4 linked regions of the Alligator mississippiensis genome follow. The main gene of each other region encodes a partner of the protein of the gene in region 3 in a complex. Links are inferred from orthologs where the notes say so. Each region holds a gene or a part of one and is shown on either strand. Other genes may lie near its edges.

What was found.
Region 1: DPM2 (region 3) and PIGC share a complex: the UniProt entries of both Homo sapiens proteins name them as parts of the glycosylphosphatidylinositol-N-acetylglucosaminyltransferase (GPI-GnT) complex. The link is inferred for Alligator mississippiensis from reciprocal best matches to the Homo sapiens genes DPM2 and PIGC.
Region 2: DPM2 (region 3) and PIGH share a complex: the UniProt entries of both Homo sapiens proteins name them as parts of the glycosylphosphatidylinositol-N-acetylglucosaminyltransferase (GPI-GnT) complex. The link is inferred for Alligator mississippiensis from reciprocal best matches to the Homo sapiens genes DPM2 and PIGH.
Region 4: DPM2 (region 3) and PIGY share a complex: the UniProt entries of both Homo sapiens proteins name them as parts of the glycosylphosphatidylinositol-N-acetylglucosaminyltransferase (GPI-GnT) complex. The link is inferred for Alligator mississippiensis from reciprocal best matches to the Homo sapiens genes DPM2 and PIGY.

The regions. Positions count from the first base shown.
Region 1 is NC_081828.1:44,547,277-44,554,911, forward strand, and holds the start of PIGC (phosphatidylinositol N-acetylglucosaminyltransferase subunit C), read left to right. Parts: upstream 1-4,627; 5' UTR 4,628-4,744; intron 4,745-7,635. UniProt on the Homo sapiens protein: Part of the glycosylphosphatidylinositol-N-acetylglucosaminyltransferase (GPI-GnT) complex that catalyzes the transfer of N-acetylglucosamine from UDP-N-acetylglucosamine to phosphatidylinositol and participates in the first step of GPI biosynthesis.
Region 2 is NC_081825.1:230,815,467-230,823,119, forward strand, and holds the start of PIGH (phosphatidylinositol N-acetylglucosaminyltransferase subunit H), read left to right. Parts: upstream 1-4,632; 5' UTR 4,633-4,715; coding exon 4,716-4,874; intron 4,875-7,653. Other genes in the region: ARG2 (arginase-2, mitochondrial), read right to left, coding at 350-422, 514-630. UniProt on the Homo sapiens protein: Part of the glycosylphosphatidylinositol-N-acetylglucosaminyltransferase (GPI-GnT) complex that catalyzes the transfer of N-acetylglucosamine from UDP-N-acetylglucosamine to phosphatidylinositol and participates in the first step of GPI biosynthesis.
Region 3 is NC_081835.1:57,214,410-57,221,934, forward strand, and holds the start of DPM2 (dolichol phosphate-mannose biosynthesis regulatory protein), read left to right. Parts: upstream 1-4,524; 5' UTR 4,525-4,623; coding exon 4,624-4,626; intron 4,627-4,730; coding exon 4,731-4,820; intron 4,821-6,440; coding exon 6,441-6,543; intron 6,544-6,808; coding exon 6,809-6,867; 3' UTR 6,868-7,525. UniProt on the Homo sapiens protein: Regulates the biosynthesis of dolichol phosphate-mannose. Regulatory subunit of the dolichol-phosphate mannose (DPM) synthase complex; essential for the ER localization and stable expression of DPM1.
Region 4 is NC_081825.1:151,545,346-151,551,456, reverse strand, and holds PIGY (phosphatidylinositol N-acetylglucosaminyltransferase subunit Y), read left to right. Parts: upstream 1-4,921; 5' UTR 4,922-4,980; coding exon 4,981-5,196; 3' UTR 5,197-5,607; downstream 5,608-6,111. Other genes in the region: PYURF (protein preY, mitochondrial), read left to right, coding at 4,516-4,670, 4,771-4,921. UniProt on the Homo sapiens protein: Part of the glycosylphosphatidylinositol-N-acetylglucosaminyltransferase (GPI-GnT) complex that catalyzes the transfer of N-acetylglucosamine from UDP-N-acetylglucosamine to phosphatidylinositol and participates in the first step of GPI biosynthesis.

The sequences.
Region 1 (7,635 bases), on a different chromosome or scaffold from region 3:
ACTAACTTAATGTACCTTACAGGCACACATCTACATGTGCACCTCCTTAATGTTAATTAAAAATGGCGAAATTAGACTAATCACACCTAAATTTGATACCTGCAAATGCAGATATCAAATTTAAGTGCAATTAGTTAAAGGACATTAACACACATGTAAACACTTGTCAACCATTACCACCAAAAGAAGCTCTGTGAGATTAAAAAGTTCCCAGGTTTAGGGAACTCCATGAGATTAAAAAGTTCCATCAATGATCCCACTGGCTAGAGCAGTAAGGGCCAACATTTTTGGCAGAGAAATTAGCCCTGCACCCCAAGTGTCACTACAATCTCCTTCCCCTGCCCAGTCTGCTGCTCTGCTTTCAGCTCCCTGCCCGATCTGCCATGTGTCACATACAGAGACTGTCCATGCCACCTGTGCTGCAGGCTGGCCATCCCTGAGCTAGAAAATGTGTACATCTGGCTGGCAAAGCTCAGCTAGGGGTCCAAGACCTCAGGTTGCAAATTCCAAACTTTCAGGAAGTGATAGTGATGTTATTATGTGATATTGCTCCTTGGCTGAATACTGGAGAAAATGCAGTTCTTTCTCTCCCATCTAAGCTCAATGGCATCTGTGTCTCTTGCCCTAAGCCCCCATGTGAAGTCTGTGGTGATACCCTTGAGGTGCCTCATTTAATGTTCTCAAGACTGGCTTGGGAGCTACTTGGTGTCTCTGTTTTTTGGGGGGTTTTTTGCTTCTTTATGATGGATAAGAAAATCTGGAATTTCTTTTCTTTCCAGGAGAAGATCAACACACTTATTTTATTTTAATCATTACCAATTCAGATTCAGAAGACTCTGTGGATGACTGGAGACTTCTCAGGACTAAACCGTCACAAGAAACAACTGCAATGTGAGCAAATAGGGATTGTGGAGAGGGACGAAATATTTTAAGCTGTTTCAAAATCTTTGGGGTCTGGCTTCTCTCTTTTATCGGCATGATCTGAATGCCTGACAAACCACTGACAGGAAACACCTCTTGGGAAAGATTCAACAGTTTTGCTCCTTCTACCATACTCAGAACACTTCTACATAGTGCTGTGGGCCTCCATCAAACAAAAAAGAAAGAAAGCAGAACTTGACATCTTTAATGTCTCCGAGGCAAAAGAACCAAGCAGGGGGAAAAAATCTACAACTCATTCTCAGAAAACTCCCCAGGTACTTTCTTCTTCATAAATTACAAAAAGAAGCATGGGTATATATATTTTTTCCCTGGTTAGCATTTGCCTTTAATGCTTCCTTGAAAATGCAGCAACTTTCCTTCTTTTCTCACCAAAAATCAAACTGGAGCATCCCAAGACAGGCAGTTACTGAACACCAGTGACCTGGCTTTCAGATCTGCTGATGAGCTGCTATAACGATCACCTGGAAAACATTCTATGGGCAAACTCTAGCCTCAGGCCTAAATATGTAGTGGTGTTTGAAATCAGGATTAAGTTCCCAAATTTCATAGCTGGATGTCTAATATCAAACTTCCACAGTGCATCCCAAATACCCAAGTCAGTGGCTGAGGTTTCTGAGCCTGATGGAAAAGCTCTTTATACTTGGAAAGTACTGGCAAATGCTAGAGACAACAGGCACCAAATGGGAGCATGTCCTAAGATTAAGTGTCCTCTGCTGGAGTGAGTAAATGTATTTGCTGAATTTTGGTCTAGGGTCTGACCCAGCTAGGAAACCAAGAGCATTCACTTCATCAGAGGCCTGAATCATGAAGATGGCAGCCAAAACCAAGTTTTGCAGTATCTGAGAGCATTGGAGATAGAGAAGCAATGGGAGCTAATGCCCGCCCTGCACTCAAATCTCTCCTTTCTCTGCAGTTGTTTTCTCTTTTTTTTCTTTCTGTGCCCAAACCTGCAGCTATAGCAGAAATGGAGATGAACTTTCTTAAAGCTCAGTGGGTCACAGTCCTGGAAGATGTGCAGCTGTTGCTGCTCGGAGGAAAAATGGCTCAGCTCCTTAACATAACCCTTCAGAGTTGCTGCTATAGCTGCCCATTGGCCTTGCCTGGGAAAGAGAGCTCCTCTGCTTGTTCCCATGATGCCTCAGACATATGAATTACCTGCCTGATTGTTCCCTGTTAGTATGCAGTCAAACACCAGGCTTGTTTAGTGGGGATAAAGGCTGCTACTGTTTGAGCCCTTTCATGCTGTTTTCCCATCACCCAGGGTCCCTTCGTTTTGTACTGAATGTCGTAGAATCACAGAAATAGAACAGTAGGAAATTAGGGTTGGAAGGGACCTCAGGTCATCTAGTCCAACCCCCTGCTCAAAGCTGGACCCCTTAAGAGAGAAAAAGCCCACGTGCCATTTGGGACCAGAACTTTGTGTCATCTTGCAAGGTCCCTTCCAGCCCCTTACAATCTATGAATCTATAATCTGCCCAGAACAAGCATTCAACTGCAGAAACTGATGTTTCCTTTGGTGTTACTAAAAGACAATCAGTCTGTCTCAAGCTCTGGAATTATGAGCTCCATGTCATAAGGCAAGGCTGTCCAACATCTAGGCAGCCAAGGGCCACACGCCTGTGGGCTGCACCAGAGGGGGCCACATTCTTCACTGGTGCTCGCTTCTGCATGGATGCCTCTGCTGCCTCAGACGCCCAGGTGCCCTAGCCTCACTCCCAGTTCCCCTGCTGCAGGCTCCCCCACTGCACCACCCCATGAGGGTGCACAAGGCCATGGGCTTCTCCAGCATGGCACCCTGTGCCACACTGCACCATATGGCTCCCTAGGGTGACAGCAGGAAGTAGAAGCCAGAGGAGGAAGAGGAACCTGGAGCAATGGAGGGGAGAGACGGTTGGGTGGGAGCCTGGGACCACCAGCTGGACAGCCCTGCTGCAAGGGAACTGGGGTCATAGAATCGTAAGACTGGAATAGACCACAAGAGGTTGTCTAATCCAACTGCTTACTCAAAGTAGGATCAGTTGATCTAAGGCAACATAAACAAATGCTGGTGTAACTTGCACGTAACAACTTCTAGTGATGGGGACCCCACAACCTCTGGAGGGGCTGTAGCCCAACCTCCAGTGCTAAACCACCCACTGAGTTTGGAAGGTCCTTCCTGGTAACTAGCCTAATGCTGTAATGTAAGTGAGTCTGTTACTGTTGCTGTCTACAGACATCACCTCATAAAGAAGAGTCTTTTACGTGGACAGTGGCTGAGACCTAGTGGCCTCCTGAGTGTACTACAGCTGGGGACCCCAGCTCAAGTGGGGGGTTACTCACAGATGGAGATTCATAGATTTTTCAGGCCAGAAGAGGCCATTGTCACCATCCTGTCTGATCTCCTGCGTAGCACTCTTTCCCCAGCAATTCCTGTCCTTCTCCGTGACAATCCCCAGCCTCTTGTGTTTACTTTTCCTATATCTCCCAGACAATACTTATTACAGGAGCTTTGTCCCTTGCTTCAGAGGATGATAAAAGTGGTGATCTTCCCTACTGCGGTGCTGTGAGCATGGGCAGCGTACTTGACCCTTTAGAAGCTGAACAGCTTGCGTGTGGCAACAACGACCCTATGGAGACAAGCCCCCTGAGTGACCCATCTCCCAGCTCAGCCTCACCAAGAACAGCACTTGCTGAGTGCAGCCCTCCTCATCCAGGAGGTGGGAGGTCAAAGAGACCACACACCTACTGCCTGCCCAACAGGAAGCACTCTCTGAGCAGATTTTCTCCTGTCCAGGCAGGGATGATCAAGACAGGATTATCCCCATCTAATGCATTTCATCTAAGTATTTGGCTAAACTGCTCTTAAAATCTTCCAAGAATGGGGATTCCACAACCTCCTAAGTAACCTCTCCAAAAGGTCATCGATGTTTGGGCTTTGGAGATGGAAGAGACCCACTTGGCTACAGTTCTCTTCAGTGTTACTACCTGGGTTGTTTAGCTTGTTCACTAAGAAGTATGGCTCAACAGGCCATCCCGTGTCTCTCCCAACAGTGCTAGACTGCCCTCTACAGTACATGAGTGTTATAAAGTATACTAAAGCTAACTCATCTGGCCTGGTTTTCATCAGCTGGACTGAGCTGTAAATAGGCACTTGGTCTCTCAGGCTGGGGAGACAAACGCAGCTAGACATGACACTGGGCACATTACTGCCTCATGTACCACTGGCTTCAGGCACCCATGAGCTTTAAGCCTGCTCATCCCATGAACTGCTTAGTTTGGGCAGACTTAACCTTTGCCAGCTGGAACATATCACACTAGGGCTGTGGACAAACCCCAGTAACAATTCCTCCTTGGCAAGAGGCCATGTCAGGAAACCCAAAGCATACAGCAGGGGTTGTGCTGTTACCTTTTGCTTCTTCCAAGGTTTACAGCGTTGCCTGCAGAGAGAGGCCATCGCACAGCTCATCCTTCTCTGGTGAGCGAGCAATAGCGGGTGTAACAGAGAGCCTGGGGCTCCCTGTTACTTCAAGGTAAAGGCAGCCCAGCCAGGGAACTCTGCAAGCTGGTTGCCAGGGCAAAAGGCTACTGGGCTATCAGCAAGCACCTGCGGGGGTCAGCGGACTGGATGCAGGCAGGGCCTGAGGAGCTTATAAGCCCAAGGCTGAGGCTGGCTGCAGGGAGTCTCTCTCTGGCTGCCACAGGGGAAGGAGCCCCTGCCCAGGAGAGACACCCAGGGGTGCTGGCCTGACCATTTGCTGCCTACAGGACCAGGGAGGCTCGGGGAACTTGAGAGGTACCCTGGCAGGGAGGCAGGCTGTGGCAGGTAAAGGTTTTCCCTCTTAAAGGGACAGAGGGCTGCTACTTTGTTATTATTTTGTTATAGCTTATGTTATGTTGTTGTTACCCTGGTGGTTTGGGAGGAGGCTGGAAGCGGCATGGAGGACTCATTAGTGTCCAGGGGGCACTTGACTGTCTTGTGCTCTGCCAGTGGCAGGCTCAAGGCTCAAGCAGTTATTGAGCCCAGGGCAGGCAGGGAGAGGAGACACAGCCAGACGGCGGCCGGGGGCCCAGCAGGCAGAAGCCAGGGGCCCAGTGACTGGAAGGGACAGATGTAAGCTAGTGCCTTAAACCAGGTCTGTCACAGTGGGCCCAGGCTAAAAGGCCTATCTAGATTAAAGGGGTCCCCACACAGGGGGGCTGAAACCCCACACAGGGAACAATGTTTCTGTAATACCTATGAGACATGGGGTGTGGTCAAGGGGAGGATTTTGAGCCATGCAATTAGCCTTTAAGGCAGGGATGGGGAACCTCTGGGCCGCCGGTTGGCTGGGGACTCCATTTCCCAGCGCCCTGCCCACATGGCTTGTGCCAGCCTCCATGGAGACCTCAGCTGCGCCAGCAGCGTGCACAGCAGAGCAGCACAGGGGGCTGCTCCAGAGCTGCTGGGAACATGGGACAGGAAGCTGGGGGGTGCTAAAACAGCCTTCCTGTCCATCCTGCAATGCTGAGCTGAGGGGGACGTGGCCAGGCCCTGGCAGGACACTTTGATTAGGAAGGGGTTTCCCCCCCCACCTCTGACCAGCCCAGCAGGGAATTGATAACACAGTGTTTATCACCCCTAACTCAGTGTTTATCAGCCTGTTAAGAAAACAACAGAGGGACATTACCAGCTACCTGTTGATTCTGCCTTTGTCCTGTCTGCCACAGCATGGACCGTAGCCAGCATGTGGCGTGCTAGCTAATGCTGAGAGGAGTCTGTGTAAGGCAGAGGGGACGGGGGGGGGGGGAGCAGGGAGAAGCTAGGCAGATGCTCTCTGCCAAGCTCCAGCCAGGGAGCAGAGGGGAGGGGCCCACTCTGCTGTGGAGCAGAGAGCTCCACCCAGCTCAGAGAGCATGCCAGGATGCTGGGGGAGTCTGGTTTAACTTAAACTAGCAAGGGGTCTGGGACAGACATTGAATAAACTGGTTTGACTCAAATCAGTTTAGTCTGATACTACATTCAACCAGGTTTATCTCAAACCAGTTTCAGCCATTTTCAAACTGGTTTATGTGCACTGAACGTCTGTTCTGTTACAGGTTTAAACCAGTTTCTGATCACTTAAACTGGTTTATGTGTAATGTCTGTCCCTAGCCTATGAGAAACTGAAGTCTCACCAGAAGTGGGCACAGGCTGGGCTTGCCCACTTACAGCCAGACTCTGTTAGACGTGTGGAACCCCACTCTCCCAATGGGAGTTGGGTCAATATATCAGAGGCAGCATTTTGCCCCTACTTAGCATTTCTCTGTGCAAGGAATTATTTATGTCTGCAGTTCACAGGTAGCACTGGGCCTTCTCCAGTTCATTTTCAAGCTCAAGTAAAGTACTAGTGGGATCTGTGTCTGAAGAGAGAACCAAAGTCTGCCTCTCCATCTTTCACCCTGACAGCCAAGGCCAGCCACAGACATGAGACCAGAATGTCTTTGACCTAGAAGCACAGCTTTGTTAGCAGGGGCACAGTATTCACTTTATCCCAGGGTGACTTACTGTAGATACAGTAAGTGCTGTGTGTCCTCTCTATAGTTAATTTTCCCCAAGGTACCCATTACTTCATGCAGATCAGCTCTCTTGCCACCTACTAGCTAGGTGCTGTAATAGCACATATTGCCAGCCTGGTCATGGGTCTTCTTTTTAATGGAGTAAATGTACTATAGGGTAAGATGTAAAGTAGATGACTTTATAGTGTCAACAGTTCACACCCTAAGGAAGCAGTGAAAAGGCAAAAGCATCTCAGTGCCTGGGAACCATAACTTTCGGTTACTTCCCTGAGCAAGCAGAGTCTGCCAAGGGTCACTTCCAGCACATAACTATTCCTTGAAAGACAATAACAGGTCCTTAGGGGGGACAGTAAAAATGCTTTGTCCTATATCAAGAACCCATTGCCAGGACTCTGTCTACACAACATCTGCAAAGGAGATTGACGCTTACATCCAACAGAAATCCTACCTTCACAGAGTTTGGCTCTGTGACCAGCCACCCTCCTTGCTGAGCTGGGAAGCAGTGCCTGGAGCGTGGCCAGTAGTTATAACAGGAAGCTGGGAAGAAAAAAGAATGTGTCATCCCCAGTTCTTGCAGCCCTGCCTAATAGCTCTCACTATGCACTCACAGCTGTGCAGACTGAAACCTTGCCTCACTTCACTGACTGAAAGGTAGTGATTGGATTTTACTCCATGATGGTACAAGTCATTTTCATGGGAGTCCACCTCTCCCCACCCCTAGGTGGGAGGCTCCAGGGTCTATCCAGTTAACTCTCAGCCTAGACAGCATTACCAACTGTGCCCTAAATATAGCTCTGGGAATCCTACCACCTCGAACCAGAAAGACAGATAGATCCATTCTCTAACCCTACGCCTAGCTCAAGCTGTCCCCATTAGTCCCCACCTGAGCAGCCTGACCTCGGGTACTAATTTGGAGAGGCCCAAAATATGATTGCTAAGCTGAGATGAGAGATCCCTATCTGCCGTATGCTCCACTGGAGCAAGAGACACCTTCCCGGCCAGTCTCCTGACTTCAATGCTGTGAGCCCACCCACCCCCAACCCCAGGGCTGGGGGTCCCATGGTCTATCCCGCTAACTCTGAGCCTGGACTGCATTACCTACTGGTGTCCTAAACATAGCTCTGGGATGGTTACAAACAGGGCTCAGTATAATTAGGTTGGACCATATTTTAATAAATT
Region 2 (7,653 bases), on a different chromosome or scaffold from region 3:
TTTTACTTTAAACCACACTGTGTGCCCTTGCACCAAGCCCAGTGCATGCCCTGAATAGGCATGGTGCAACTGAACACCCAGCTTTGTGGTAGAGGGGGCGGGACGCATCTCCCCTGTGGGCCTGCACACATGGGCGGTCAGAAGTCGGGGGCTGTCCAGGCAGGCACAAGGGCCCCCGGGGACAGGGAGGCCCCCAAAGCTACAACCGAGGGCAGGAATGCGGCCCGTCCCGGCTCTGGGGCACCAGCGCGCCGCCCCTGCCTTTGTGCTAGGCGGGCGGGGCCGGAGCCCGGGCACGGGGCTGGCTCCTGGCCGGCGGCGGGGGGGCCGGGGGCGCGCGCGGGCTTACCCAGGCCGAGGAGCCGCTGCGTGAGCCCCGCGCCGCGGATGGCGCCGGGGCCGTGCTCCACGCCGCGCCGCTTCTGCAACACAAAGACATCGGGGAGCCGTGAGCGCGGGGCCGCACGTGGCTGCGCCCCGTTCCCACCGCCCGGCCCGGCCCCGCCGGCTCACCTGGCCCCGGGACAAGGGGGCGCCGACCAGCGCCACTGAGTGCCCGGGCTTCGGCACCTGCAGCGCCGCGTCCGCCTGCTTGCGGAGGAGCCGCGCGAAGCCGCTGCGCAGGGACATGCCGGAGGAGGACGCAACGGGAGCGATACTGACGCTGATGCTGATGCCGCTACTACTGCAGCCGCGCTGCGCCTTTTAATCCGCGCCGCTTCCCCGCTCCCGGCCGGCGCCGGCAGCCGCGCCCCGCCCCGCCCCGCCCCGCCCAATGGCAGCGCCGCCGCCCGGGGTGTGTCCGCCCCCACCCCGCACGGGCCCGACCCCAACCGAGTCGCCTTCCCTGCAGCGGGGGCTGCGCCGCCCCCCCGGGACACACGTGCGCACACGTACCCATACGCACATTTATCCACATGCACACATCCTCCCCCCTTTGCCCGCGCCCCCGGACAGCAGGGCTGCCCCCCCCAATCCTCCTCCTCCGGCACAGCGCGGGGACAATGGGAAGGCCTCCCTTTCTGGCGGGCCCAGCACAGCCGCGGCCCCCAGCGCTTCACCCGAGGGCTTCCCCCTCTCTCCGGTCAGCACCCACCTGAGACCGACGCCCCCCGGGATGGCTTGCGCTTGCCTTTCTTCTGTGGAAAGGATATGGCTCAAGGCATTGTGCTCTCTGTTTGAAGAGCTGAATGGCTGGTTGGTCGCGGTCACCCCCACCCGCCTCTTCCTCACTTCAGACAGCTGAGGTCTTAAGAGTGCCTTTGAGCAAGGTGGTTTACCCCGCTTTTCCGGGTGAGCAGGAGCTGGGCAGGCCTGCCCATTCACAGGATAGTTTACTCCAAACTAATCTTGCCTTGCAGACAAGCTTTGGTGCAGGAAGAATTCATTCGTTCATTTTGGCTAAGATCAAAGGGGGGGGGGGCATGTGAACCCCAAGGCCTCAATGCCAGGGGATTGCAGGTACGATGCCCCTGGTGAAGCCCCAGGCAGATGGGTCTGGGAAGGAGGATACTTGCAGGGTGGTAGAGCCACACACACTTAACAAGTGAACTCTGCTTGGTCAAATTTTGGAACTTCGCCCAATTGAATTTGGAACTGATTTGGCCTTGAATAAGATAAAAAAATAAATCCCCCCTTCATTATCTTTTACACATTATGTTTTACACACACACACACACACACACACACACACTCTCTCTGTCTCTCTCTCTCATACTTACCCTGACTTTCTAATACCTTCCCTTCCCAGTTGATTTCCCATCTGTCCGCCTCCTCACAAGCGCACTGCTACATTTTCTCAGACTCTTCACTGTTCAAATCCAGTAGCTTTATGGAAAAAGACTCACTACAGATACAAATTATAGAGACCCATATGGGGTTTAGGCAAATCAGGTGTTACCCAGAAATAGGGTGTTGCCTCTCTTCCTTCCCATTAAAACTATATCTAAACATAAAGAAGTATTTTTTTGTCTTTTCACTATCATCATCCAACATTTCCCCATTCCTCTCTTTTCCCTTCCTTCTTACTGTGTTCTTGTTTGTTTTCATCTCTCCCCCTACCACCCTCCTAGTATCCCCTATTTATGTCTTTTCCTCCCCCATTACTGGTTCCCCTCTATCCCTAGGACATCATTTTTTCTTCATCTCTTGCAACTCCCACCTTACTCTCCCCTTTCAAAATTTGCTACTTTGGTTCCCTTTTATTTCTCTCTCTACTTGAATTTCTTCCCCAAAGCTGCCCCTTTTTCCTTTTACTCACTTTAATTTTCTCTACTTGTTTCTTTCCATTTCTCTCCCCATGATTATTTTCTTTCCTCAGTTTATCCTGCATGCCCTCCCCTCTCTTCTAAATTTCTGTTCCATCTTCTCAGCAGTTACCTGTATTATCCAGTCCAAGCCATAGTCTTCAGCTAGTGCCACCCTTCACCTGCTGCCATGCCCAGAGCTGTCTTGGCACTGATACTTCAGTGCCCCCCCCCCCCCCCCCCCGCACCCTTCTGTTCCACTCCCATTGTTGTTGCATCAGCAGACATTCCTAGACAAAGGTTCTTCAGGCTTTGGGACACAATCAGGCTGATCACAGTGATAAGTATTCCTGCTGGGGGCACCATGTTCTGTAATGAAAAATCAGCAGAGACATGTTCTAACCCAACGGAAAGGGTGATGTAAGGCAGGGGTCTACACAAAGTATATTACAGTATTGGGGCCAGTTTTCCTTTGCATAGGGACCCCTGGACAAACACAACAGCAGCAATAGTGGGATTCTTTGTAGGATATTTTACTCTCACATTGACAGCAAAATCAAGTGGATCTGTACAGGAGTGAGGAGGCTGTTCCGACACACTGTAATTCCAGCACATCAGAGCATGGCAAGTACCAAGCTCCAACAGCCTCCAGCGTCTTGGGTATCAGCATCCCTGTGCTTGAAAATGGTGGTGGGCTTTAGTTCAAGTTCCCCTGCTGCCATTTTTAACTGCAGAGACGCTGATACACGAGACGCAGCAGTGCTTTCATTAGAATGGCTTTTTAGTCTAGGACACTGAGGGTCAACTTTTTTGGCAGGCATGCCACAAATTAAACTCTGAGTGCCACTCCAATCCCCTTCCCCTGCCCAATCTTCTTTTTGTACTCTGCTCTGTGCTCCCTGCCTAATATGCTGCCCTCTCTGACACTGTGCTGCCTGTTCCCTCAGCAGTCTGCTGCATACCGCTCACAGAGGCTCCCTGTGCCACCTGTACTGCAGGTTGGCCACCCCGATGTAGAAAAAGATTTTCCCAGAATCTTACGCTGGAGTGAATGTGTTTGCTTTAGAATTGACTTCCTAGAGCAGCGGTTCTCAACCTTTTTAGAGTTGTGGCACCCTGCAGAAAATGCCAAGTCAGTTTTGGTTTTTTGACTACAGAAAAACAAGAGAGCAATTTTTCAGCTGCAAAAAAAATTAGGAAGACCACAACAGGACAGAAAGTTTTTAATGCTATGGATTCCTATAGGAAATCTCTGGGTTTATCCTGTGAATCATGTTTGCACACAGTGATGTTGGCACTGCATGGATCCCCCACAGCACCTTTGAAAGGATTTCACAAAATCAGAGAAGTCAGGCTGGAAGGGACCTCCAGAGGTCATCTAGACCAGGGGGTCCCAGGGGGTATGCAAAACATCTCTGGGGGGTATGCAGGAGAAATTGTGTAATGGCAGATTTAATGTTCATTATATCAATCAAGACTTGTGGTAGAACCAACTAGATTTTGTTAAAAAAAATTCTTTAATTGCAAGCTTTCAGGCACAAACACCATGCATCAGGCATGGGAGAAAAGATTGCAAAAGGTCTCCTTTTGCGTGGACAGCACCTGTGCACAAGCAGAAGATGGTGTGTGGCAGCACTCTGTCCCCACCCACCCGCATGTACCTCCTAGGGGTACACGTACCCCTGGTTGACAACCCCTGCCCTAATTTCCTACAGGTAAAGCAGGGGAACCAGGCAACCAAATGTCCTGGTTCTAGGAAATGTCAATATATGCTGGAGTTCCCTGTACAGGGCTGCCCCCCCCACCCACAGAGGACAGGCAAATCCTGACTCCCCCTCCCAATCCTACTAATCTGATCACAGGCTAAAATTCCTTCCTAACCCCAAATATAGCAACACGTCTGACTCTGAGCAAGGAGGCAAGACCCTCCAGGCAGGGGACCTCCAGCTTTGGTCCCAGGAGGAGCACTGGCACAGCTGTCCTGCAGCCCTCAGGAGAGGGTATTTACCCCTTCTCTCCTAGCCTGCGCTTGGCAAAATCAAGTGCAAGGTTCCAGAGGTACCATTTGGGTTGGTCTAATAAAAGATATAAAATTCACTCAAGGAACCTTGTCAGCCTAGGTTCCAGAGACTCACGTGAGCCTTGCACGGAACCCTAAGAGCTTTGCTGCCTCGACCACGTGTAGAGCCCCCCCCCAGCACTAAGTATTTTCAACTGGGGTCAATGCGAATGGATCCCGCGCCCAGAGGCTGCAGCTACCCTGCCACACGAGCTCCACGTGGTGCCTCTGTCCTCCGAACCCACGTGCGTCACTCTGGGGGCGGGGCTCCGCCGCCGCAACGTCCCAAGGCGGGGGGCGGAGTCAAGGCCGCGCGGAATTCCGCAGGCTCCCGGAAGTGCCTTACCATAGAGCTGCGGGGCGGGCGCAGCTAGAGTGGCGGGCCGTTCTGGGCGGTGGGAGGCCTCGGCATGGAGGAGCGGGGGGACCGGACCGCGCTGCAGTGCCGCCAGTACAGCGCCTCCTGCCGCGAGTTCTCGGTGCGGTGCCAGCCCGTGCAGCTCCGCTCGCTCAGCGCCGCCACCTGCTCCGTGTGGCTGGCGGCGTACTGGCTCTTCGTGCTCACCCAGGTACGGCGACCCTTGGGCGTGGCAGTATCCCAGCTTCCCAAGCACGTGAGGCCAACAGGGCGGCATGCTACGGGGGCCTGAGCACCTCGCAGGTCAGACCTCAGGTGTGTTGTGGGGGAGGGGAGGGGACAGGTAACCAGGACCTGAGCAAAGCTCTGATGCAAGAAGCTCCTTCAAAGTGAACGTGGCTTTCTTCTTGTGCTGAGAAAATCGTGGGTCCCTAAGAAAACTAGGCCACTGGCTTCCAATCTGTGGTATGGATACCACCAGTGGCACACGGGCAACCTGTTGGTGGTACGCGTTAACAGATTTATTGTCATTACTTTATATGACAAAAATGTGCTGGTAGTACTTAAAGTTGTATCGTTTTAAATTGGCAGCGTGCAATTTGTCAGTGTTTGGGAACTGCTGCTGCAGGCCCCTTCAATCCGGGAGGCTGCTCGTGACCCTAACAGCTGAATGCGGGGGGCAAATAGAAAGAAAACGGGGAAGGGAGGGAGGTCACGGGTTAATAAGGGATCTAGAAGGGGACGTGGAGCACAGCATGATGGCTAGTGCCTGCTGCCCCCTGAATGAGTCGAGGGAGCGTGTGGATGCAGACTGGTGAAACCCTGCCCAGAGATGGGAGCGGAGGGGTGATAAGAAGACAGCCCCATGCCTGTCTGGGTTCCTCTACCCCGGCCTGGTCTGGTAGCTGGTCAGATTGGCCAGAACTGGAGGAGATTGATTGAGAGGTCCCAGGGCTTGGTGGTGCCACGGCTGAGCAGTGCGTAACAGAAAAGGTGAGGGGAGAAATGCAGCCAGAACCTCAGCAGGAGGTTTTGGAGGAGGCAGAATAGGGCCTGGTGCACTCAAGGTAGGTATATGCCAGGGTCCCCCTCTGCTGAGAGAAGGGGCAGGTGTCGTGGGTGTCCTTGAAATGTGCCAGGTGCACCCTTGGCAACATCTCTGTGGAAGAGCTGCTAACTGAGGCTGTCAGAAGTGGGCCTGTTTGATGTGCCGAAAGATCACTGGCATAAGCCCACCACGAATACTGTATGTCTGCCTTAATAAGGGAGGCCACTGGGGATACATCAGTTAAATACAGGGGGACAAATTAAGAGAAAACAGGAAAGGAAGTGAGGTCATAGGTTAGTAACAAGGGGACACAAAGTAGAGCACACTGGCCAGTATCTGCTGCCCCCTGAATGAGTCAAGGAAGCCTGTAGACATTGACCAGTGAAATTCTGCCTGCAAATGTGAGTGGAGAGAGAGGGAGACAGTGCCACACTTGCCCAGGTTCCTCCCCACTAGCCAGAGGGTCTTTCCTGGTCTGGGAGATGGCCATGCAAAGTGAATAAGGAGTCACTGGCCTTACTGGAGAGCTGAGAGACTGTCACCCTTTGGGCAAGATGGGCTGTTACCGTGAGCCTGGTCAGGCCCATGAAAACAAGATGCACAGCTCTCTGCTGACTGTGAGACTGCACCAGGTACCAGTCATGTTCTGGATGGCACGTGCAACAGCCCAACCTGCCTTGAGATTTTCTTTTGTAGTTTATAAGCTCCTTCAGGGCAGAGAACATGTATCTTCACTGAGGGGTGTTTAGACATTCTTGTGAGTCCAGAAAACACACAGTGGAGGAGAACAGGGTATGTTTGAAGTCCTACAGGAACAATTTCTTGGGGCAGATGAGTAATGGCTAAGATTCATCCTTAGATATTTATAAGAAAGAATGGCATTGCACTAGCAGCATCTTTTACCTAATTAGGGTGCACAGGTGAGTCAACAGCACCTGGTAGTCAAAGATTTCAAAGGCTTGTTAACAGATCTAAAGGAACTAGCATAACTGTCTGGTCTTTGCCCATTGCTAGGAGGTGATGAACAACCAGTGAGATAAATGTAATCTCTGTACTGTATAGCCAAGCCAAAACCTGACTGAGGCGGCCTAGGGACTATATCTGATGCTAGATGTGCCTCAAAACAACTTTCTCTACAATCTTTCTGAGAAAGGGAAAGATAAGAGTGAAAATTAGCAAGATTGCTCTTGTCAAAAATGGTTTACTGAAGAAGGACTAACAACTGCTTGTTGGAGAAAAAATGGGAACTCTTTTTGAAAAAGAATCCAGTCTCAGCTAGCAGTCACCCCCAGCATGTTTCAGCTTGATTTTTTTTTTACAACCCTCAATAATTTTGTTCTTCCACCTTTCTCCTAGTGCAATGCATGATCTGTATCTGCCCACAAGCCTTTTCCCAACAGAGCAGCTTGAGGAATAATGTTGGGCTCATTCATCTTGGGCAGTGTCATAAAGTGAGGCAGGACCAACATGGTTTTCACTTCTTAGTGAAATAATCAACATTTCTTAACTCAAACCTAGCAGTGTTCTCTATAAAAAAACAAAACAAACAAACAACCCCCCCCCCAAAAAAAACTGGTTCCAGGAGATAGGGTGATGGTCTGCAGATAAACCATGGGAGAAAGGAAGCATCATAACCCAAATAGTGCAGTGGCATTTGAGGCAGAAAGAGATTAAGGTTGAGCAACATCACCCATACTGGTTTTAGCAGAGTTATAATCCAGTTGAGCTCTGGGTTACCAATCCTGTGCTTTAGCCAAAACCCATACAAAACTCTGCTCTGTGTCTCTGTTTTCCCCATCTGTAACAGAGGGTTAATGATACTTGCATCACATTACTGTCTTATTGCATACTGATAGGAAAGCTTCATCAAAATCTATTTATATGATGTGCTGTCTTGGATGTTATAACCCAATGTTTTAGGAAGAGTTTATGTAGCTCTCTG
Region 3 (7,525 bases):
ATCTGTTAAATCGGTGTTAGTAGGAAATTTGCATGCTACTAATAAAGTTACCTAATGGCCCTAGGGGTTAATACTGATCAGCTAAATGTAACTGTATTCTTCAGGGCTGCTGCTAAGGGCTGATGATGTTAGCTGAACTGCCTCCAGCTGTTGCTTAGGTTTGTTCAGCAGCTTAAATTCAAGCTGCAGCCCAAGCCTGGACACTTGTCAAGGTTTAACCAAGTCCCTGCCATTGATGTGGCCAGTTGCAGACACATCTGCAGGAATTCAAAGCATAGGTGTCCCCACAAAGGGTGCTGTGAGGCTCCTGCCTGCTTTCTCAGCTTTTTCTACATCAACGTTTTGTTCAAGCATTTCAAGGCTGCATTTGAGGAGCCAGCTTGGGCAAGTCTTGGGCCTGTCTGCAGTGATGTGAAGGCTCAGGTAGCCTGGGGCAGGGATGAAGGCCCAACTCCCAGAGTCTGCTCCTGTCTGCTGTGTAGGAGGTGGCCGGTCTTGGGTGACAGTGCTTTTGAAGCAGGGCTCTATCTTCTTGCATGGTTCTTGCAATCATCAAAACCCGCTAAATAAGTCTCTGCATCTGAGCTCCTCTGGAGTTCATGCTTTCCATGCGGTTTCCTTCCAGTGAGCTGACCTTAACCCTTTCTCTAAAACTTGTGGCACTTTGGTGGGAAACAACAACTTCTTAGGAAGTGGGAGGCTTGTTTTCTCACTCATGTGCCCTTGAGGGAGGGATGAGCAAAACCACAGGCAGTCCCATGAGAATTCAGGCCTTGGTCCTGCCTCTTTGAGGGTTAGAAAATAAGTGGAGAGCAGATTGGTGCTACCAAACTAGGGAGCATCTCTTTCCACAGGTCCCATTGTTGCTGCTGCTCGCAGAAAGACAAATGTTTAGTACTGACTGATGGGAAGCTGAAACACTTCTCCCCCACACCCTGAACTCTGGAGCCTTTGGCCGTAACTATGTACATCAGATCTCTGTTGCTGGCACTGGGGTGGCACCTAGAAACCCTAGCCAGGACCAGGGGCAAAAGCTAAACAGAAAGATGGTTCCTACTCCGAAGAGCTTCTAAGCATGATATGGGCCACAGGTGGGGCAGGGGTAGATGGGGTGCAGGGCTGGCTGCTGGCTTCTTATCCTATGCTGTCCCCTTGGCTTACATATGGGGAGGGGATGGAATAGAGACATTCACACCTGACCTGTGGCCACTCGCACACGGTGCCGTGTTTTGTCAGGACTCTTGCACTCTGGTGTTTTCCACCATCTGCTGTGGTTTTATTCCCCTGCCTGGTACCCTGAGCAATTCCTTACCCCTGGGTCTAATGCCACCACCTGGAGCATCCCAGCTGGAGCATCCCCTGGATGTCGGTGCTCTGTCTGCAGCACCAGCCCCATAAGCAATTCCAGAGGTGTAAGTGTAAAGTATGGAGCTGGCGAAATCTGCCCCAGCCACCTGTGAACCACAGCAAGGGAAACTAGGCGTTTTGGTCTAACAGCTGAGCTGCCCCAGCCTTGCTGAAGGGGGAACCTCTTTTCAGACTCTGCTGCCTGCTGGGTGAGCTGGAATCTGGCTGGGTTTTGCCATCCAGCCAGTAATGGTGTTGCAGGACCTGCATTGGAGCCGCTGCTCAGGGGTGATGGGGATCCTGGCAACCCTGTGCATGGGGAGGAGGGCATAGAAGCCTGTGGCCAGAGATGCTTTGGTGAAAAGGAAAGCAAAGTACTGCCCAACTCCTTGTGCAGTGAGCACCAGCCAGGCCAGGCCGTGTGCACAGCCAGGCCAGGACTCTGGGGAGAAGCGATGCGTGATCTCAGAACTTAAGGTGAGTGTCCAGGGGCAATGAAGATGGCTTGCTCAAAGTGCCCCATTTCCCAGGTCCTGAGTGCTTGCCCTTGCACGTCTCATGTGCTGCTTTTTCTGTAGCTTTCTTGTGTGTAACTGAATCTAAGTGGACTACGGTCCAGGCCTCCCAGTCTGCAGCTGGGTCTCTTGGCTCACTCCAACCATTTGCAATATGGAAAATCCCCATACAGACATGCCTTGCCCAAGACTGGCCAGCTCCCTGGGTCATCTCATCATTTCCCACCCAGATGCCAGCAGAAAGTGAATCACAGACTGCTCTGGATCTAAGCAGATCTTATGAGCGAAGGGAAAGTGCTTCTATTGTTCCCCAGAGAATGTGGCTTCTGCTGTACCTTCGTGGAGGTTGGGGCTAAAGTTCCGGCTTAGAGGACAGAAGGTAGAGGGCTACAGCTGCACTGAGCAGGTCTGCTATGACCTGGGCAGGACCCATGTCCTTGGCCTGGCAGCTGCTGGGGCAGGCACAGGGGCTCTGAATAAAAATCACCAGTTTGTGTGGGCTGGCATGGTTGGAGATGCAAGAGGCAAAATGCAAGGATCTGCAGTTGAAATGAGCCAGAGTCTTTGAGGGGCTGCTGGGCTGGGCTGGAGACAGACCAGGGGGAGTGTTAGCACCACCTAGGGAGAGTGGCTGCTGCCCCCACACAAGAACCTGTCCCAGTCCCACCCCAGCACGTCCCAGAGGAATCCCGGAGCAGCTTCCAATGCCTTGGAGGCCCTAAAAGCCTCCCTCATAGCCCTGAATTGGTCTCTGCCCCTGCATCCCTACCCCCAAATGTGGTGATCCTTTGCTTTATGCTCCTTGGCCCCCACAGGGGTTGGGTGACCCTGATGTGCCTTTGAACTGTGTACAGCAGTCTGTCTATGTGTGTGCAGAACCTGCCTCTGCACTGGTAAGCACAGACCCAAAAGCTAAAAAGAGCCAAGACTGAAGAACTGGGAGATCCAAGGGGAAGGGCAGGAGCCCCAAGACGTGACCACCCCCATTGTCCTGCAGGAAAACGCAAGTATAGCCCTGCATGGCTCCTAGGGGCAGAGCTCCAAACCGGAGCATTTCCCTGGCTCTGCAGACCCCAAGGTGAACCAGCCCCTTGAGACGCTCTGTCTTCCACCTTGGCCATGCAGGGGCATCCACTGCCAGGATAATTGCCACATCCTACCCTGATGGACAGGCTTATTCCAGATTTAAAGTCTTCAGCTGGGGAATTCCAGTGTTTTATCTCATGCAGTGTGATCAGGGTGGCAAGCTTCCTGACGTAGACACTCTGCCCCCAGCACAGCATCTCCTTACCGTAATAAGTAACAGTGAGAACGTGTGTAGCATTGCTGTAATTGAGTTTGTTGTTCTCGTCAGCCATGGCCAACATAGTGGGTGGCTTTACCGTGGGAGCTAGGGGCCCTGCAAGAGGAAACGGAGGGCTGGGCAGGGTGGAGCCGGATTCTTTCCAGAACTGCTCGGCTCCTGCCTGCGTCACAAATTCTTTCTCAAATTTCCTGCATGCTGCCCTACCCCCGCTCCCCCCAGCCACGTTGGAGGATTTTACGTGTATGTTGTGAACAGATCGAGGGAACATTTTCAAAAGCACCTAAGTGATTAAGGATGCCAAGCCCCACTGATTTTCACCTCTGCAAGTCGCTTCTGCAAATAGGTCTGCACTGGGGTTCCTGAGAAACCTCTCCAGCGGGACGCAGCCCCGCTCCTGCCTGTTGGCTGTAACAAACCTCTGGCTTTGTTGACTGTCTCTGAATGGGTGTTTTCTGCTCCCTTCACTGTGGCTGAGCTCAGTTTGGCTCCCGAGCAGCTGGGCTTCCTCCTTGCTTGACTATTCAACACATGGCCATCACTGGATCATGCCAGTGAAGCTGATGGGCTCTGAACAAGGCCAAGACCTCCTGCCCCCTGTGCACCAGGACCTTCCTTGGAGGCTCCTTGGCCGTCCCCTTCTCCACAAGGCAGGGGCAGAGGCTCACCTGGATACCCCCGCTCGCCCCACTGAACAAGCAGCAGCCCAGGGGCAGCACGTGGGCTTAGCCCATCCTGCTCGGGGAAACGGGAGACGAGAGCGGGGAGGCGCATGGCTGGGGGCTGTGGCTCTGCTGGGCCTGACCTGGTGGGAGGAGGGCAGAGGGGAACAAGGAGCGCGGGGCTGGGTTGTAGGGTCCCCTTTGCGCCCACGGAGCCGCCCCAGGGCTGAACCCCACCCTCTGCGGGTGCACGGGTTGGGCTAGCGGAGCTCCAGCCTGGCCGGCTCACGAGGCTCCGTCCTGCGAAGGGCTGGACACGGGCATAGGCAAATTACAGAAAGGGGAATATTTTTTCCTTTGTGCAATTATTATTCTCATGCTCTCTGGCAAATTGGGGCCCGATACTAAAAGGTTTTCCAGGCAGGGCCACCCAGGGTGCAGGTGCCGAGCTGGCTGCACTCCCTGCATCGCTGCCACCTGCCAGCGGCCCTCGCTTGCAGCAGGACAGCTCCCTACCCCCCATGGCAGCCAAGGGGTTAAGCCTGGGGACTACATCTCCCATCAGGCCCCGCGCCAGGCGGGACTACGGCTCCCATGAAGCTTTGCGAAAGAGGGGACGGGCGCCTCCCGTCATGCCCCGGGGAAAGGAAAGGCTCGCGGATGATGTCTCCCGTGGTGCAATGCGGCTGGGGTCAGCTCCCGTCGTGCTCCGGGGCCGAAATCCCGGCCGTGGATTGGGCAGCGGCTCCCGGAAGTGGGCGGGGCGGTGGTAGGGGGGTCGGCGCAGCGCGTGGCCATGGTGAGGGCGGCCGGGCCGGGCCGGGCCGGGCCGGGCCAGGCCAGGGAGGGGGGTCGGGGCTCGGGGCGGGCCCGCTCTGACCGCCTCTACTCTCCCGCCCACAGGCCACGGCGACGGACCGGCTGGTGGGCTTCGGGCTGGTGGCCTTCAGCCTCGCGCTCTTCACCTACTACACGATCTGGATCGTGGCGCTGGTACGGGCCCGGCGGGAGGGGCTGCCCCGGGCCTTGCCTGTCCCCCCCCCCCCCCCCCGCGCGTGGGGGGCGCGGGGCACGAGCTGGCAGCGCTGGAGGGGCCGAGGGGTCACCGCCTCACCCCGCGTTGGGCTTCCTAGTCAGGGGGAAGCAAGAGCTGCCACAGGCGCCCGCCTTGGCCGTCGCTGGCAGCTCCAAATAGCCCCCGGCCGGCTCGGGGGCTTCAGATAGGGGCCGCGCTCCCATCGCCGCGCGCTTCTGGGGTCCCCCGTTTCCTGGGTCGAGTGAGCAGCGACTGAGCCGATCGCAGTCCTGGAAAGCCTCACAGACGCGTAGGGAATTGGGCGAGGAGCATCGTGGGGTGGAAAACTGTCCAGCGCTTTATTTTTCCGTGGGAAATTTTCCATTTCTAAAAATTCATCGTTTCCTAAAATTCGTTAGTAACAACGAAGGGATGCCAATGCCCTGTTAGGCAAGCTCGGCAGTGTCAAAGTTGTCATTCGCGTGTTTCGGGTGATTATCCCTAGGAAGTGTGAGAGAGAGTACATATGTTTTATTGATGTGTAAATACACTCACATAATCCTCCAATCCAGAAATCAAGTTATGAATTCACCTGATTGGCTGTGCAGGTCAAATCTAAACCAAGTCATGGCATCTCATGCACAGTTTTTGGGTGTGCTAAAATTAGTGTGTCAACATTTTTCAGTGCCTCCACTGTCTTTTCTTAAATTTAAACAATGTAAGGGAAGTACGTGCTGTTGTATATTGCCTTTACATTTTTACAAGTATGCCAATAAAAGTAATTTTTTTTCCACATCAAAGCTCTGCTTTGAATTTGTTTGAATGTAACATTTAAATCACATTAAGTGTGTTGTAGTTAATTTTTTTTTAATTAAATATTCCAGTTAAAATACTTGTGGCTGTCGAGACATAAAATTAACATGGGGTGTTTTTTTAGTTTTGCTTACTGATATACATCAAATAAACGTGTTAAATCAGATCACGCTCTATTTAGGGCATTGGAAAAATTTCCAGAAAATTTTCCAATTCAAAATTTTGTGGAAAACCCACATCTCTGGTGAGGAAGCGTCTCTTTGAGCCTGCAAGGCCAGTCTGGAGACTTGCTTCAGTTTGCTTGGCATGTGGATCCCTGACAGCTCCTGGCCGTGCTGTGAATGGTGCTCACTTCTGACATCCTCTCAGCTCGTTGTTCTGCGGCTGCAAACTCAGTATGGTTGGGTTTTTTTCATTGTCCCTATGCCTTGCTGTCAGCCCACGTGCTGCTCTGTAACGCTCAGTCTGTTCTAAGTTCTGTGAAAGATGATCTTTGCCTTGTGTCTAAAACAAGGCAAATATTGTCTCTGTTTTGCCCAGTGAAGCATGGGAGACGCTCACCAGGTTGAGCAGGTTGTTCAGTGCCAGGCAGCTAGTCAGAAATCAAGACAAGCTTTGGAGGGGTGAGTTCGTGGCCCCTTGGCTCTATTCTCTATCCATCAGCATCATTGTTAACTGTCAGTCTTAAGGCTTGTACTTCTGTCCCTACAAGCAGGAATGTCTGAGTGCTGGCAAGTAGCTGCATATTGCCCCAGCTTGCTGATGCCCCTCTTTGTTTCTTGCAGCCCTTCATTGATAGCAATCACGGGATTCACAAATACTTCTTGCCCAGGGAATATTCTGTTACCATTCCTGTGGTTGCAGGGCTCCTGCTGCTGCTGTTCATAGGTGAGTAACATTTCTCTTCTGTTTTGGGATCAGAAATCTGTTATAGAAGCTGGTTGGTCACTGTTGGCCCAGCTACTTGGAAGCAATTGCCACGTGACCTCTCTTACAGCCCTGCCTACTCCAGCTGTGAGCTCCTGCACAGTGGAGCTGCCCTGGTCTCATCCTGTGAAGTGGTTCTGTTCCGCATAGCAATGGTGTTTAGAAAGCTGTAGTACTTATAGGGTTTTTGGCCATTTTCTTCACATTTTTTCTTTCTCTCTCTCAGGGACTTTCATAGTGATTGTGATGTGGAAGAACAAGAAACCTGCCAAGAAATTGAACTGAAGACAGTGGGCATGGGAATGGGCGCAGGTTCCTACCTGCAGTGTCTTGATGGGGCCAAGACTTTGACCTGCAGTAACAGGTGGCCATTTCCTCCCGCAACCAAAGACTCTTTGTGTTATAGCCTGGATGCTGGGCCTCACCATGCTCTTGGCACTTCCTACCTTGCAGAGCACATCCAGCCATTTGATCAAATGAAAGAGAAACTGGCTGAATATCATACACATCCAGACAGGGACCAGAGCCTCGGCTTTAGTGAAACTACCTCAGCTCGGGCTGACCAGGACAGACTGACAGCTCGGGCTGACCAGGACAGCTGACAGCTCGGGACTCTGCAGTCGGGGAGCTCTGTGCAGCCTCCACTTGCCCTGTGTTAAGGGGAGAAGGCAGCACTAGTGAGCAGAACAAATAGCTGGCTGCCTGGCTCCATTGGATCTCTGCCTCTGGCAACACCTCTTGCTCTGTTGCTTTATTTTTTGTCCTTCAAGTGTTTATTTTAGAGTTTACAAATCAGATCTATTATGTGAAAAACCAAGAGATTGTGGACCAAGGCTGGTAGCTAGGGACAGATTCTCTTCTTACTTGCCTGTAGTGGGTGCAGCAAACCTTGTTTTGTGCTAATGGTAGTCATAGCACTAGGAGGGTTGCACGGAGCTCACCC
Region 4 (6,111 bases), on a different chromosome or scaffold from region 3:
CTCGGAAGAGAGATCCTACCAAGGGACTGTGTTTGCTCACCAGTAGACCTACACAGATCTGTAATGAGCAGTGTTAGATTAATTGTTTTGGAAAACGAGTGACTGATCCCAAAGTAAAGGGGACATGAACTGACTCTAAAGAGAGACTGAGTTGTTTCTGGGGTCTTTGAGCCCAGTCTAAGGCCATCCCCTGGATGTGGGTGCATATCGGGTTAAGACTATGGTCATCAGAGGACTATGCATTAGAGAGTCGGAGAGCATAATACCAAGCCAAAGAGAAGCTTTGAGTTTCACCTGGAGTGGCTAGGATGGGGTAAAGGGGAGGTTTGGAGCCCTACAGAAGAAGACAGAATTCAAGACCTGAAGGATCATCTCAGGGTATTGCCTCCTATTAACAGTACCAACAAAGCTGTGGCAGGCGAGAAAAGTAAGATCAGTCTCCTGGCAGACCAGGTGATCCGAGATAAAGGTCCATCCTGTCACCGCCGGTGGGTAAATGAAATCTTGGCAGTGGCAGTAAGCCCTACAATATCTACAGTTGTCACACTGTCCTACCCCAGGGCACAGGAGGCAATTCCACCAACAGAGCCAGAGGACCCCAACTCCTGCCTGAGTCTCCATCTCTCAGCACATGGGTTCCCAGGCTTCTGTCTGGCTGACCTCAATTTAGATTCAGCCATATCTACAACAGTACATTTACCAGGCTCCAGAGCCACATCCTCAGGCAGGCTGCACTGCTCCAGGTGGCCACATTTGCTGAGTATTTCAGGCTAACTAATTAGTACTGTTAAGCGATGTTGCCAATTCACTTGCTATTCCCTAACTAGCCTGCCTGTGGCACTGAACAGATGCAGCTATAGTGTTTCCAGTCTAGGGAACAAGCTGTTCAGAGCAGCACAGCATGCTTGAGGGGCACTTTGGAGCACAGGAAGTCACTGCTTAGACTGAACCTGGTGGAGTACTGATACCTGCATTAATTAACTTGGTAATGTTTTACGCCCACGTGCAAATGTGTACACAAGGAACAAGCCTGCACTGTGGCTTGCTGTGCAAATTCCTGCTTAAAGGATAAGCAGGATTCTGATTTTGTTTCCAAAGCTGTTGGATCTTTCTGGAGGAGAAGAACAGGTTGGAGACACTGGCCATTCCAGAAAACTAAAGAAACATTACTGTAAATGCCTACAAAGTTAACCTTAAATATTACTTTATAAATGGTGTGATGCCATCTATTGGAAACTACAGGTACTAGCACATTTTAATTTGATGTACTAAATACTCAGCATTTTAAATTGGTCTGTTATATATTATACTGTGCCATGACCATGTGAGTTGTATTTTTTTTACTCTACTGCACAAAACTTTGTACTCCTAGAATGTGAGTTGCTGAATACAGTTAGACCTCCTTCTTGTTGTTATGGGAATAAGAATAACTCACTTGTTCTTTTGGTAGTGTCAGAGCGATATTGTAGTCATGAAGGTACAGAAATGATAAAACTATAAAAATGTATAAGCTGGCTGGACACTAAGAACCAAGGACTAAACATTGATATCAGACTTATGGCACATAATATTTTATCATTAAAGATGAATTAGGAAATCTTACAGAAGACTGATAGTGTGTGTAGCAGTCACATAAGCCAAAAAGTCTAAAAGAATGCAAGGATATTTCCTCACAGACGTCTTTAATACATTCAGGTAGCATCTCTCCCTATACTATGCATACCTTTCCCTATTCAGTCCATCTTGATGTGACTAATGGTCCTGGATTTTTTGAGACAGTCCTAAGTTTCAGGACTATGCTCTGGCATCCCCTGTGATTCCCTGAACTGGGACTTTCATCTCAAATATGAAAAAAATTGTCCTGGACTGAGGCCAGGCAGCATCCTAATCAAAACCAGCATTTGCAAACTGCACAATTGCACATACTCCCAAAACACATTCACTGCTGCCAGTTTCACAGATGTTAACAGCCACCTGTGCTGCTTCAGGGACCCTGGCCCAGATTTCACTCCTTCAAAGTTAGTTGCTTTAATTTCTCTCAGTCATGATCTATGTGCATCACTTCTAGAGTGTTTTTTATTCTACCCCCCCCTCCTCCTATATTTCCCAACTCCAGCTGGACACTGACCAAGAAACATTCAAGCAATTGCTGGATCAGGGGGCATAGGTTGACCCTGTTCCAGGAGTCCTGCAAGTATTTATGACACAGGGTTGGCCAGGAGGGAGTTAGGAACTTACGATGAATATCAAAACTGCAGGAATAGTCTCCAGCCCCTCAGAAGCCTGCCATGCCCTTGAGCATGCATCACACAAGCAGGCCTGCTTGGGAACTTTTCAGCTGCGGTTTTCCCTGGAGACATTCAGATCCTGGCCCCAGCCACGCTGCAGGAATAGCATAGAATTATAGAGAAGTCAGGCTGGATGGCGCTTTCCAACTCCCTAGTCCAGTGGTTTTCAACTTTTTTTTGTTTGAGGACCCCTAAAACAATTTGAATGAAAATGCAGACCCCTTTGGACATTTCAAATGATGGTGAGGACCCCTTTAAATTGTAAGTGTGGCTATTCACATACTTTTGATTGATCAGTCATCTTTCACGGACCCATCAGACATAGTCTGTGGACCACAGGTTGAAAACCACTGCCTAATCTAACCATCTAGTCCAATCCCCTGCCTGAGACAAGAACCATTCTATCCCCTGCCCTATCCAAACCATTCTATACAAATCCATAACCTAAACTCTTTGTAAAACTACCATCAACCCTGACACAACACAAGACATAACACAATAACCTGCCGTGGATAAAAAAGGGGGATCATGGCAGCCAATGTCCTGCTTCTATAAAAGGTTGTTAATATACACTCAAGAGATTCCAGATAGAGCCCCCCACCCCCCAGGGGTACAAAGGAAGGCAACCCCCCCACAGTCAGTACCAGTCTGAGCATGGGGTAAAATTCCGTCCTGCCCCCAACTAAGGTGATCAGTCTGAGGGGCATGACTCTTTAGCCAGGAACCTCCAGCTTTAAGTTCCTGCAGGAGTACTGGCACACCTCAAAGTCCCCAGTCTTGGCTGCAGCCAGTAACCAATGCCTCTGAGAAAGACTTAAAAAAACCCGGCCCTCACATGTAGCAGAAAGGGAGTGGGGGAGGTCACAGGGAATTCCCTCCTACCCCATGTGGCAACCAGCAAAGCCCAGAAGCATGAACATAGTAGAACATACAATAGAACATAGTATAGACAGTCACTGAGAAGGAGATGGGCTCCACCTAGTCAAGGTTCATTTATGCTCAACCTTTCTGCCCCATGGTCCAGATGGGCTGGGCTTGGTTTGTCCATGGGCTGGATCTGGATGGTGGACCCGATCCAGTGGGAGAAGTAGGTCCTGGCCACATGGAAGGGAACAAGGGGGGCATCATTGCCATGATCCAGCCATGCAGGATGAGGGAGCATAACCCAGCCCTGATCTGGCCACATGGGTCTCCAGAACTTGGCATGGGAGAGGGGTTGCAATGTTAATTGCCACTGCGCCCTCACCACCAACCTCCCTGACCCTTGTGGAGCTGTATGGGCTGGATGCCATGACTCCATGGGCCACATTCAGCCGACTGGCTAGGAGCCGAGCACCCCAATCTAGTGCAATTCCCAACCAAGGGGCCACGAGCTCCTTTTGAGGGTGGTGTGTGGGACCTTGCCATGCCAGCACTAAGAGGCATTCAAGCACCATTCATGAGATAAACCCAGGGATGTCAAATAGGTATCTGCCACTGTGGCCTCCCGAGCTCTTGACTACAGGAAAAAACCCAACCCTCCTCTTATTTTTCTGTAGGCATAAGAAGAGAGCTGCGATTTTCCAAGGTGATCCAAAAAAAGACTGAGCCCCACTGATCGAACCCTGCTGCCTCCAGCACAGTGCCCCAGGGGCTGGGAGTGGGTGCTTCTTAATGTGAGGAATGCTGACATCAGAAAATACCAGTATGTGGGTAGCTTCCCAACTAACACGGGAGCATGACCTTTTGCATATGCAAAATCCATCCCGTCTGGACGTGAAAGCAGCTGCTTGTGCCTCTGCTCCCCGCCGCGAACGCTTCAACTCCGACATTCCTGACTTCACACCTTTATTCACTGGGAATCAAAGGGAAAACATGACCGAAGCCGCCGGACTCAAAAGTCCAGGCCAGCACCGTGCAGACTCAGGGCAGGGCCTTCCTCCGTAAACACCTGTAGGTCTCGTTTCAAAGCCGCTCTGAAACAGAACTGCAGAGCTGGGCCCTTGGCGGGAGAGAGCCGGGCCCTGTCAGCCTGCAGCCCGGAACACCTCAGGGAGAGACACAGAGAGAACACCCCCCCCCCCGCCAAGCCCAGGTACCAGATGAAGTGAACGGGCGCGGGTGGTGGGGGTGTACACACGGCCCCTCCCCCCGGAACCCAAGCGCGGGGCGGTGCGCGGGCGGAGCGGGTTCCCAGCGCGCAGGAAGTGGCGCGAGCAGGCGGGCGGAAGTCGCTGCGCGTGGGACGATGCTGGGCCGGGCTGCGGCGCTGCGCAGGGGGTTGCAGGTGGCGGCGGGCGGGACGCGTGGGCCGGACAGCGGCCGGGGCTCTGCGCAGCCCGCCAGGCTGGACCCCGCGCTGCTGGGGCTGCTCGTGTGCCCGCTGTCCAAGCGCCCGCTCCGGTACGCACTTGTGTGAACCCACGCACACACATATGCACACAGGTGTGCAGGGACTCTCCTCCTTGAATCCGCAGCCCTGACCTGTTCGTTTTTCACGCAGGTATGAAGAATCCACCAACGAGCTGATCAACGAGGAGCTGGGCATTGCCTACCCGGTGGTGGACGGCATCCCTAACATGATACCGCAGGTGGCGAGGAAGATAGAGGCCGAGCCCCCTCACCCCACTGGCGAGGAGTCAAAGCAAAGCTAGATAGTGCTGTCCCAGAGAGCAAAGCTAGAGACTGAGAGGCTCATGTGTGAGCAGTAGTCATGTTCCTGTCACTGCCTACACTGACAGTGCTTGTCCCGCTGCTGTCCTTGGTTGGCTTGTTTTATTCGGCCACCATGGATGAAAACTTCCCACAGGGCTGCACCAGCACCAGCAGCTTATGTTTCTACAGTCTGCTGCTTCCTGTTACGATCCCCGTGTACGTGTTCTTCCACCTGTGGACCTGGATGGGCATTAAACTTTTTAGACACAACTAAGGCAGGCAGACAGCCCGAGGGCACTGCCCAGTGAGCTCATCAATCACAGGGCCTCTGTGCTAGTTGTGTAGCTTATCTTAGCTGTACACTAATATTATATTCCATGTAACTGGGATAGTCTCTTCCTCCCTTGCTCTCTCTCAATAATGATGACCTTTATCACCCTCTTCCTGGCACTTCACAATGATCTACAGAGGACTTTGTGTATGACTGCTTAATTTCTGCCAGGAAAGATAATTAAGTACATTTGTCCTTGCCCCTCAAAATCCAGAGGTGCACTGTAGTAGTGTGAAAGCATATTACAGTGGGTGTTTGTCTTTGCCCTGAATGACTCCATCTACTGACTGAGATACAGTTTAATTACTTACTCAGGTTGTTAATAATAAACAGTAATGTGGGCTGCTCTTTAAAGATGGCAGTGTCTGTCTTTAGGTGCGTTGCTAGGTTGAACAGATTTATTCATGAAATGCTTCTGGCACTGTGCTATGAAAATGCAGTGTAATCAAAACACTGTGCAACAGCAAACTTGTCTGTGCAAAGATTTTTTTAAATCCATGTGAGCTTTAGACTTGTTAGGATCACTGCAGCCATGTTTTGAGGGTAGTCATCCATGCACATCCAACACAGCACACCTTTTTAGAAAAAAAACCAAGGTGGGGTATCCATGTCACTCTAATATGATTTCCTTCTAGATCAGCAGGTCTGGCACAATTATTCAGGCAAGAAGTGCCATGAAATAGTAGTTTGGCAGCTGCTTTAATTTATTCCAACTGGCAGTGGCCTGTAACAGCTGACAATAAGGCAATAGGCTCAAAAATGCCTTCTAACACTCCCCCTTGCTAGCTTTACATTGACTGAGGAGATGCAGTACTGAGAACAAGTCAGGATTGGGACGCTGACCCACTGAAGTACCCA